Linked DNA regions of Macaca mulatta. The protein of the gene in region 1 purifies or fractionates together with the protein of each later gene. This does not show direct contact. Links are inferred from orthologs where the notes say so. Each region holds a gene or a part of one and is shown on either strand. Other genes may lie near its edges. The genes, in order: IRAK1, PELI2 and IRAK3.

Region 1 (3,653 bases):
TCCCCATTTGCCGCCCCAGACCCAGGCCTGCCCACCTCTCTCCTGGCCTCAGCGACTGGACATCCTTCTGGGTACAGCCCGGGCAATTCAGTTTCTACATCAGGACAGCCCCAGCCTCATCCATGGAGACATCAAGAGGTGAGGAGGGGCCCATGAGAACTGCAGGGGCAGGGCCTGCAGCAAGGGGGGCCCCGTCCCGTCAATGTGGGGATCAGGCATGGCCTAGGACCTCAACACCCGGTATGGCACAGGTGTGGAAACAGGCCAAGGATGGGCCCCACTGATGAGCAGAGGCCCCCAGGCGGCTGGAGTACTCAGGGCAGTGCCAGCACTTTCTGTGGGCAAGGCACTGGGCTGGCAGCCTCAAGTCCAGCCTTACCTAAGCCGGGCAGGTGTAGGAGCTAGGACTGGGCTGACGCCACTGTCTTCCCTCCCCAAGTTCCAATGTCCTTCTGGATGAGAGGCTGACACCCAAGCTGGGAGACTTTGGCCTGGCCCGGTTCAGCCGCTTTGCCGGGTCCAGCCCCAGCCAGAGCAGCACGGTGGCCCGGACGCGGACAGTGCGGGGCACTCTGGCCTACCTGCCCGAGGAGTACATCAAGACAGGAAGGCTGGCTGTGGACACGGACACCTTCAGCTTTGGGGTGGTGAGCCACTGACCCCTCTGCTGGCTCAGAGGAGGAGAAGCCACAGGCAGGCAGAGGTGGGGGCCGCAGAGTGCACTGCGGGCCAGGGGCCATCTGCCAGGACCCCAAGAGGCTGCAGCTCCAGGGCCCCCCTCCCTCCGAGGCTCTCCTCCTCACCCTGCACCTAACTGTGTGTTTGTAATTTGTCTTCAAATGGGCCCTCCAAGTCGCCTGAGCTTCAGTCCCATAACATCTGGCTCTGCCTTTGTCCACACCTTTGTCAGGCCCGATCCATGTCCACACCAGAGGCCTCTTCCCTGCCAAGGCCACTGCCATGCTCTCCCTCTTCCCTCTCTCCAGGTGGTGCTCGAGACCCTGGCTGCTCAGAGGGCTGTGAAGACGCACGGTGCCAGGATCAAGTATCTGGTGAGCCCCCTGAGGCGGGGCCAGGCGGGGACACACAGCTGCTGGCAGCCAGCAGGCACAGCCCCAGCGGTGGGGATGATTGGGGCGCAGTGCCCATGGATGCCTCTGTTGCCACAGTGGCCGCATTTGTGAAAGTTGGCAGGGCCTCAAACAACTCCGTTTACCTTGCTGAGAACAAACCTGTTTGCCTGCAGACACTATGAGCCTTGTACAGACCCCATCTGGGCTGGGGGCAGGGGGAGGGGCGGTCCCAGGGCGCTGGGTAGAGAAGCAGGACCCGAGGAACCTCCTGGGCCCTAGCAGGCTGCAGCTGAGCTCTCCACGCCGTGCAGGGCAGCCTGAGCTGCCTCATGCTCTTACTCCACTCTGTCTGCCTCACCATGGACTGTGGTGAGGCCAGGAGACTGGAGACCTGGGTTTTAGCCCCAGCCTGATAGTGGCCTTCCAGCAAATTCCTGCTCCCCTCTGGGCCTGTTTTCCCACATGCAAAACAGACTTCACAGAATGTGCTCAGCCAGTAATTGCTTCACTGCTTCTCCTCCTGTTTGGGGCTGTTCCTGTGTGCTGTGGGGTCTCCATCAGGATTCAGCCCCGCTGAGAACCCAGGAGCTGGGCTCAAGCCCTCCTTCCTTTCCCCTCCGCATCCATCCATCCATGCATCCTGCTGAAGAAGCGCAGCAGGCTCCTTGGGGGTCCTTGGACTTTCCCACTTGCTCCCCACCCTGCAGCCAAAGTGCTCTTTTCAAAGGCCCCTTTGCATTTTCTCTGCTCTTGGGGTGAAGGCCCAATCCCTTATGTGGTTGACCCCACAATGCCCCAGGTCCCCAGGACTCGGGGCGCTCCCTGCCACCTGCTTCACAGCCTTAGTATGTGCTGTTCCCTCTGCGAGGAAAGCCACCGCCCACCCTGGCTGTTCCTCCTGGTCTGTCTGATCTCAGAACTGGAGATGGCCTCTGGTCCTGTTTCCACCCCCAGGGTGCCTCTCTCTGTCAGGAGCCTGTGGGGTGCCTCTCTGTGGAGCCTCTCTCTGTGGGGTGCCTCTCTGTGGAGCCTCTCTCTGTGGGGTGCCTCTCTCTGTGGGGTGCCTCTCTCTGTGGGGTGCCTCTCTCTGTGGAACCTCTCTCTGTGGAACCTCTCTCTGTGGAGCCTCTCTCTGTGGAGCCTCTCTCTGTGGAGCCTCTCTCTGTGGAGCCTCTCTCTGTGGAGCCTCTCTCTGTGGAGCCTCTCTCTGTGGAGCCTCTCTCTGTGGGGTGCCTCTCTCTGTGGGGTGCCTCTCTCTGTGGAGCCTCTCTCTGTGGGGTGCCTCTCTCTGTGGAGCCTCTCTCTGTGGAGCCTCTCTCTGTGGAGCCTCTCTCTGTGGGGTGCCTCTCTCTGTGGGGTACCTCTCTCTGTGGAGCCTCTCTCTGTGGGGTGCCTCTCTCTGTGGAGCCTCTCTCTGTGGAGCCTCTCTCTGTGGAGCCTCTCTCTGTGGAGCCTCTCTCTGTGGAGCCTCTCTCTGTGGAGCCTCTCTCTGTGGGGTGCCTCTCTCTGTGGGGTGCCTCTCTCTGTGGGGTGCCTCTCTCTGTGGGGTGCCTCTCTCTGTGGAGCCTCTCTCTGTGGGGCCTCTCTCTGTGGGGCCTCTCTCTGTGGAGCCTCTCTCTGTGGAGCCTCTCTCTGTGGGGTACCTCTCTCTGTGGAACCTCTCTCTGTGGAGCCTCTCTCTGTGGAGCCTCTCTCTGTGGAGCCTCTCTCTGTGGGGTACCTCTCTCTGTGGAACCTCTCTCTGTGGAGCCTCTCTCTGTGGAACCTCTCTCTGTGGGGCCTCTCTCTGTGGAGCCTCTCTCTGTGGAGCCTCTCTCTGTGGGGTACCTCTCTCTGTGGAACCTCTCTCTGTGGAGCCTCTCTCTGTGGAGCCTCTCTCTGTGGGGTACCTCTCTCTGTGGAACCTCTCTCTGTGGAGCCTCTCTCTGTGGAGCCTCTCTCTGTGGGGTACCTCTCTCTGTGGGGTACCTCTCTCTGTGGGGTACCTCTCTCTGTGGAGCCTCTCTCTGTGGAGCCTCTCTCTGTGGAGCCTCTCTCTGTGGGGTACCTCTCTCTGTGGAGTACCTCTCTCTGTGGAACCTCTCTCTGTGGAGCCTCTCTCTGTGGGGTACCTCTCTCTGTGGGGTACCTCTCTCTGTGGAACCTCTCTCTGTGGAGCCTCTCTCTGTGGGGTACCTCTCTCTGTGGGGTACCTCTCTCTGTGGGGTACCTCTCTCTGTGGGGTACCTCTCTCTGTGGGGTACCTCTCTCTGTGGGGTACCTCTCTCTGTGGGGTACCTCTCTCTGTGGGGTACCTCTCTCTGTGGGGTACCTCTCTCTGTGGAGCCTCTCTCTGTGGAGCCTCTCTCTGTGGAGCCTCTCTCTGTGGGGTACCTCTCTCTGTGGGGTACCTCTCTCTGTGGGGTACCTCTCTCTGTGGGGTACCTCTCTCTGTGGGGTACCTCTCTCTGTGGGGTACCTCTCTCTGTGGGGTACCTCTCTCTGTGGGGTACCTCTCTCTGTGGGGTACCTCTCTCTGTGGAGCCTCTCTCTGTGGAGCCTCTCTCTGTGGAGCCTCTCTCTGTGGGGTACCTCTCTCTG
Region 2 (2,781 bases), on another chromosome or scaffold:
CCCGTGGGGCTCAACACCCTGGCCTTCCCCAGCATCAACAGGAAAGAGGTGGTGGAGGAGAAGCAGCCCTGGGCATATCTCAGTTGTGGCCATGTGCATGGGTACCACAACTGGGGCCATCGGAGTGACACGGAGGCCAACGAGAGGGAGTGTCCCATGTGCAGGACTGTGGGCCCCTATGTGCCTCTCTGGCTTGGCTGTGAGGCAGGATTTTATGTAGACGCAGGACCGCCAACTCATGCTTTCACTCCCTGTGGACACGTGTGCTCGGAGAAGTCTGCAAAATATTGGTCTCAGATCCCATTGCCTCATGGAACTCATGCATTTCACGCTGCTTGCCCTTTCTGTGCTACGCAGCTGGTTGGGGAGCAAAACTGCATCAAATTAATTTTCCAAGGTCCAATTGACTGACACCCTTGACAGCCAACTACGACTTTATTAACAGGTTACTGTGAAGATTTTGCCACTAACTCTAGATTTTACCTTTTTGTAATGCTGTTTATTAGGGGAGGGTGACGGGGCTGGAAATAAAGAGAGGGGACACACAGTGATGAAACATGGCAGGAGTGTAACAGATACCAGTGGTGTGTTGCATGCCCAGAACAGCAGCATCGTCATTGAAGTCTGCTTGATTAAACCATAATATCTTTGTAATAATTGGATTTAAAATGCCATGCTTCTATTTTTAACCTTGGGTTTTTAACCAAGTTTTGTTTTTGTTTTTGTTTTTGTTTTGTAATCTTGGACAAGACTTTAAATCATATTTTACAGATGTAGAAGAAAATGTATTCAAAAGTGTGGGCTCATGAAGTTCCCTTCAGTGCAGTGTGGTGTAGGTGTGACGCGAAGGGCACACAGTGTCTAGAAATACTTGATCATGGCTCCAACCTGACCAGACAGCAGAGGGGCGGCTCTGTACAGTGTGACTGGTGGACAGATGGCCTTAGACACAGGTGGTTTTGAAATCTGGGGCTTCTTTCTGATTTATTTTTCTGACTTGTTGGGGGAGAGAATATTCATATCTCATGGGCTTTTTTTTTTTTTTAACTTCAGTGGAATTTACTTTAGATACTCATTCATCAAATACATGGCACTTCACAGACAATTTTCCGTAACTTTTTAGCCTGTCTTTTGTTATTTCTGCCTAATATGATTTGCCCCTGATACTCATCTTGCATGGCCAGAACTGTTCGGTTGATTACAATACATCAGCTCTTAAAAACTCACTAACTGAGGATAATTACAGTAGTAGACATGGTCTGGGTGCTATACTACCATGTTTGTTTGCTGACTGAATTAAGATTTAAGAATGATTAAAAATAAGCTTTTACTTTTTAAAACCACTTGGGGTTTCATAAAGCTTGTGGGGTTTTTTTGTGGTTTCTTTTTCCCTTTGTTAAGAAAGCCAAATTCTATGAGTCTGAAAGCAAACCAATCACAATGATACAGGCATCTTTGCGCACTCCCTTTTTGCCATCTGTCACCTTCCCTTGCAGCTTAAGGAGCCCAATAAGTTTTGGAAATGTTTGCAAATCAAATTAAATTTAAGTGGGATCATTAGATATACACAACACCAAGTGGTACGTCTGCAGAGATAATTCAAAATTCCTGATTTTGAGAGAACAAATGAGTGTTTGCTGAGGATTAATTAAATCAGAATTTCATATGAGCTCCACCATTCCTGTTACTTTCATTTCATTTTGGTTAATAATTCTTGGATGCTTAGCACCAGTCGTATCACTGCTCCCAGAAGGCAAAGATCCTTTAGGACATGAGACTAGTAGAAGCTGGCTGAGATAAAATAAAACCCTGCCACATGGAGTAAGTATTTATTTAAACTAATGTTCTCTTAATTTGACCATTGCAGATTTGGGTGACTTTTTTTAACCTTTGTACATATACGTAATTTATATGATTCTAATGTACTATATCCATACTTGAATTGGTTTTTTCGTATTTTGCCTACTGGCAAATATTTTGCCTATTTTCAGCCATTCTAACCTATTTTGAGTACCCTTTTCCTTAAAGTGATATGATATATTACTCTTGATTGCTGCTGCTTAATTTGACATAATATGTTTAAAGTTCAGCCTCTCAGTTTTAATATAGCTTTATTTTTCAATGGAGATCGTTGTTTAGGATGAGACATTTTTGGTTTTGGTTTTTTTGGATAAATTTTAAGTGATGTGAAAATCTGACAACAGTCCTCTTATGGATAGCTTGCTCTATTCTGTATAGCTTACTCTACCTGCAGACAGAAAATGAAAGAAAAAATGGACTTGCCTAGAATAATATATTTAATGCCTTTTGATTTAGCCAGAGCCTCTGATGATTAGCTTTCGCTGATAGAGTTTGTCTTTTCAGCCTATAATTCTTTGGGCCCCAAAGAATGATAAAGGAGGCACTCTTTCTCTTTTCTTGCTGTACGCCTAGAAAGTGGTTGAAGGATTCTTGATGCCCTAAAACCATCTTGTAAGCTAAATGGTCTTGCATCCAGAAAGGCCAGATTTTACCTACCAAGAAAAAATATATTTTTCCAGAGAGTTAGGTATATCATAATTTTCCATTTCAAGTCCTGTTTATGAATCTAGTCATTCTGCAACGTGACATATCCCCCAAGTTGGACACATCCCATAGTTGGGCATATGTCTAACTAAAAGTTTCTGACTTTTAGTAAATTCAGCTTAAATGTAAGTTGAAATTTGGGTAATAATTTCCAAGCTCTTGGAAGGGGTAACAGTGAACCACCCTCCATGGGCTCCACATCTTTTCCTTTGGCTT
Region 3 (3,653 bases), on another chromosome or scaffold:
CCAGGTATACACGGACTGTTAAATACACTACCTCAATTTCCTTTCAATCCATTGCTTTTCATTTTATAGGTATAGTTGGAATCATAATAGGTGTGGGGATCTTGTATCACAGAAGACTTTGATATATTTAAAAATAAAAACTTCTCTGTGTGTGTACATGTATACACACACATACACACACACACACACACACACATACACACACATGCTTCCTTCCTTGAAGTAAGAAGAAGAAAAGGAATCAGAACCCCCCTCCCCCACCACATATGCACAATATATATAGGATTGTGTGTGTTTATAGGAAAATTTTGCTACTGCAGAAATGAATAATAGGCTTTTATAAATAGAATATTTTTTACAGATTTATTTTAATATCCCCAAGCCTGCCCAGAACATAGTAGGTATCCCATAAGTAATTTTTGAATTAAACTGAGCTCACAGTATGTGTGAATTTCACATTTTATGTTTGCTAGTTGTTACCTGGGCTCATAGTGATAGCACACACTATTGAGGAATATAGTTTTTGTTAATAAGCTAATAAATGATTATTAGGGGAAGAAAAGCCTGAGAAATGTATGCTACACTGACATAGAAATCTGTGATTTAAAATCAGTGATATACTCTCAACATCAAACATTACTAGTCATATGGATTTAGACAACAATGCAAGCTTTGTGAAGACACTGACATCTCGTTTCAGCTGTGTAACTGGTATTTAGCACAGTCCCTGACATAGTAGTGCTCCATAAGTGGATGAATGAAAATGGTATTTATTCTTACGTTTTGGTGGCTTAAACTTATATACTTAAATAAATCAAACTAACAATTTTAGTTGTACTGTTTTTACTTAATAAGTCATGTTGTCTTTCATATTGATAAAAATAAGTTAATATTGAATAGTGCTATCTTTTGTAAAGTTTCCAATATTACAAATCTTTAAAACTCTTTATTTTTTGAAAATTTGTGCCTTATATTTGGATGTTTTATTTATATTTACATGATTACAGTCAATCAAAAACAGTAACTAGTATTTGCTAGAATTTTTGTTTTTTTTTTTTTTTTTTTTTGAGGTGGAGTCTCACTCTTGTCACCCAGGCTGGAGTGCAGTGACATGATCTAGGTTCACTGCAACCTCTGCCTCCCAGTTCAAGCAATTCTCCTGCCTCAGCCTTCTGAGTAGCTGGAATAACCAGGTGCTCACCACCAGGCCCGGCTAATTTTTGTGTTTTTAGTAGAAATAGGATTTCACCATGTTGGCCAGGCAGGTCTCAAACTCCTGACCTCAAGTGATCTGCCCACCTCGGCCTCCCAAATTGCTGGGATTACAGGTGTGAGCCACCGCGCCCTGCCGTTAGAACTCTTTAGACCAGTTTGGAAAGCAAATCTGTGTCCTGTGCCCAATGTGTCCAGCCAAATTTATATTCTGCTTTAAGCCTATTCTCCATCCCACCTTACTACTCCCACACCGGAGTGTTGTTCATTTCCTGTCTGAATACGCAATTTGATGGCTTTAAAACATCTTTTGTTTCAAGGTTTCACCATCCAAACATACTCGAGTTGACTGCATATTTTACAGAGACTGAGAAGTTCTGTCTGGTTTATCCATACATGAGAAATGGAACACTTTTTGACAGATTGCAGTGTGTAGTAAGTTCTTTCTATTATTCTGTCTGATCCTCTGACCCCCTGAAGTCCTGGGAGAGCTGCTGAAACCATCTGGGAGAGCTGGGAGGCAAGATGTGTTTGCATGAGGGGAAAGCGAAGGATGGGTTTCCCAAGGAAGCAGTACTTCTTGGATTAATTTCTTACTTTTAGGAGGCTGAGCAAATACCTGAGTTAATGTGTTTTGTGCAACATTCTGGCAACCATATTGGGTTCTCACTCATTATATAGTAAGAACCCAGCAAATCTTTTGGCAACCATGTTATATTATATTTGATTCTGTACCTCCAGTGAGTTGCCATCAACTACTCTTATTCCTTAGATAATTTTAATTTATATAACTTTATATAAAGTATCCTTCAATACAAAGGATTGCCATAACAGTGACACAGACTCTAAAGAGAAAGAGGCAGCCTGGACAACAACATAGCCAGATCTCGCCTCTACTAAAAAAATGAATAGGCTGGGCACGGTGGCTCATGCCTGTAATACCAGCACTTTGGGAGGGCAAGATGGGTGGAGCATGAGGTCAGGAATTCGGGACTAGCCTGACCAACATGGTGAAACCCCATCTCCATTAAAAATACAGAAATTAGCTGGGCGTGGTAGTGCGCACCTGTAATCCCAGCTACTCAGGAGGCTAAGGCAGGAGAATCACTTGAACCCAGGAGGCAGAGGTTGCAGCGAGCCGAGATTGTGCCATTGCACTCCAGCCTGGAGATTGTACCATAGCACTCCAGCCTGGGCGACAAAGCAAGACTCTGCCTCAAATAAGTAAGTAAATAAATTGCTGGCCATGGTGGCACATGCCTGTCCCATCTACTTGAGAGGCAGAGGCAGGACAATTGCTTGAGCCCAGGGACATGGAGACTGTAGTGAGCTATGATTGTGCCACTGTACTCCAGCCTGGGTGACATGGAGTGAGACCTTGTCTCAAAAAAAAAAAAAGAAAGAAAAGAGAGAGAGAGAGACAGAGAGAGGGAGAGAGAGAGAAGGAGGTTGAATAAATGCCATGATCCCTCATTAGATGTTTTTGGAGGTTAAGTTTAAAAATTGATTCCAAATAGGTTAAGTTTCAGTGAGGATGAAAATAAAAGCAGATTGTCTCAATTTCTCATACTATTATACCACAAGTAACTTAAAAATCTTATTTAATGAACTTTTAAGTAGTGTTACCTTACTAGCTATGTTTTGATTAAGCTAATATTAAGAAGTATGGAGTATTTTCACTGTCTATAAAGAGGCCTAGAACTGTCATCAGTAGCAAAAGGAAACCCATCTGGAATTAAAAATAAGTTCTGGAAAACCAAAACGTTGATTCACCCACCTCACCCCACCTTGCTATCTGCTTCTATTCTGGTGTATGTCTGCATAAGGAATACATAGGTAGTTTTTACTCAGAAAGTGCAACCAAACCAATTGCTGTTGTCGTTTTAGGGTGACACAGCCCCACTCCCTTGGCACGTTCGAATCAGTATATTAATAGGAATATCTAAAGCCATTCACTACCTGCACAACGTTCAACCATGCTCGGTCATCTGTGGCAGTATATCAAGGTAAATGATTCCAGAGCTTTTGGTTATTCCTGAAAGCTTCTTTTATCCTCACACGTGAGTCATACTTCACACTATTCTCTGCTGTAGTTCTCCTGGTATGTGTGTGTGTGTGTGTGTGTGTGTGTGTGTGAAGAACTGTCATCTAGGTATTTAAAAATCCTATATTTTTATTAATGAAAATGTGTCTACCAAATTTAAAAAGCTATATGTATGTTGCCAAAAAGAGGGTTTGCATTATCTTTGGGAATTATTAATGAACAATGTAGGATAGACAATTCTGTGTACAGATGGTCCCAATTTATGATGATTCAATGAAATGATTTTTTTGGACTTTACAATGGCACAAAAGTGATACGTGTTAAGTAGAAATCATACTTTGAGTATCCCCATACAGTCATTCTGTTTTTCAGTTTCAGTACAGTATTCAATTTATTC

The links.
Region 2: the proteins of IRAK1 (region 1) and PELI2 purify together in Homo sapiens (affinity purification with western blotting; 7 studies listed by BioGRID and IntAct, with this or other methods). This does not show direct contact. The link is inferred for Macaca mulatta from reciprocal best matches to the Homo sapiens genes IRAK1 and PELI2.
Region 3: the proteins of IRAK1 (region 1) and IRAK3 purify together in Homo sapiens (co-immunoprecipitation; 3 studies listed by BioGRID and IntAct, with this or other methods). This does not show direct contact. The link is inferred for Macaca mulatta from reciprocal best matches to the Homo sapiens genes IRAK1 and IRAK3.

Annotation. Positions count from the first base shown.
Region 1 is NC_133426.1:160,264,856-160,268,508, reverse strand, and holds part of IRAK1 (interleukin-1 receptor-associated kinase 1), read left to right. Parts: intron 1-19; coding exon 20-138; intron 139-439; coding exon 440-647; intron 648-986; coding exon 987-1,052; exon of another isoform or gene 1,053-1,863; coding exon of another isoform or gene 1,864-2,133; intron 2,134-2,384; coding exon of another isoform or gene 2,385-3,653. Other genes in the region: uncharacterized protein LOC144338623, read left to right, coding at 1,864-2,133, 2,385-3,653.
Region 2 is NC_133412.1:129,443,516-129,446,296, forward strand, and holds part of PELI2 (E3 ubiquitin-protein ligase pellino homolog 2), read left to right. Parts: coding exon 1-411; 3' UTR 412-2,781. UniProt on the Homo sapiens protein: E3 ubiquitin ligase catalyzing the covalent attachment of ubiquitin moieties onto substrate proteins. Involved in the TLR and IL-1 signaling pathways via interaction with the complex containing IRAK kinases and TRAF6.
Region 3 is NC_133416.1:73,373,031-73,376,683, forward strand, and holds part of IRAK3 (interleukin-1 receptor-associated kinase 3), read left to right. Parts: intron 1-1,532; coding exon 1,533-1,647; intron 1,648-3,099; coding exon 3,100-3,218; intron 3,219-3,653. UniProt on the Homo sapiens protein: Putative inactive protein kinase which regulates signaling downstream of immune receptors including IL1R and Toll-like receptors.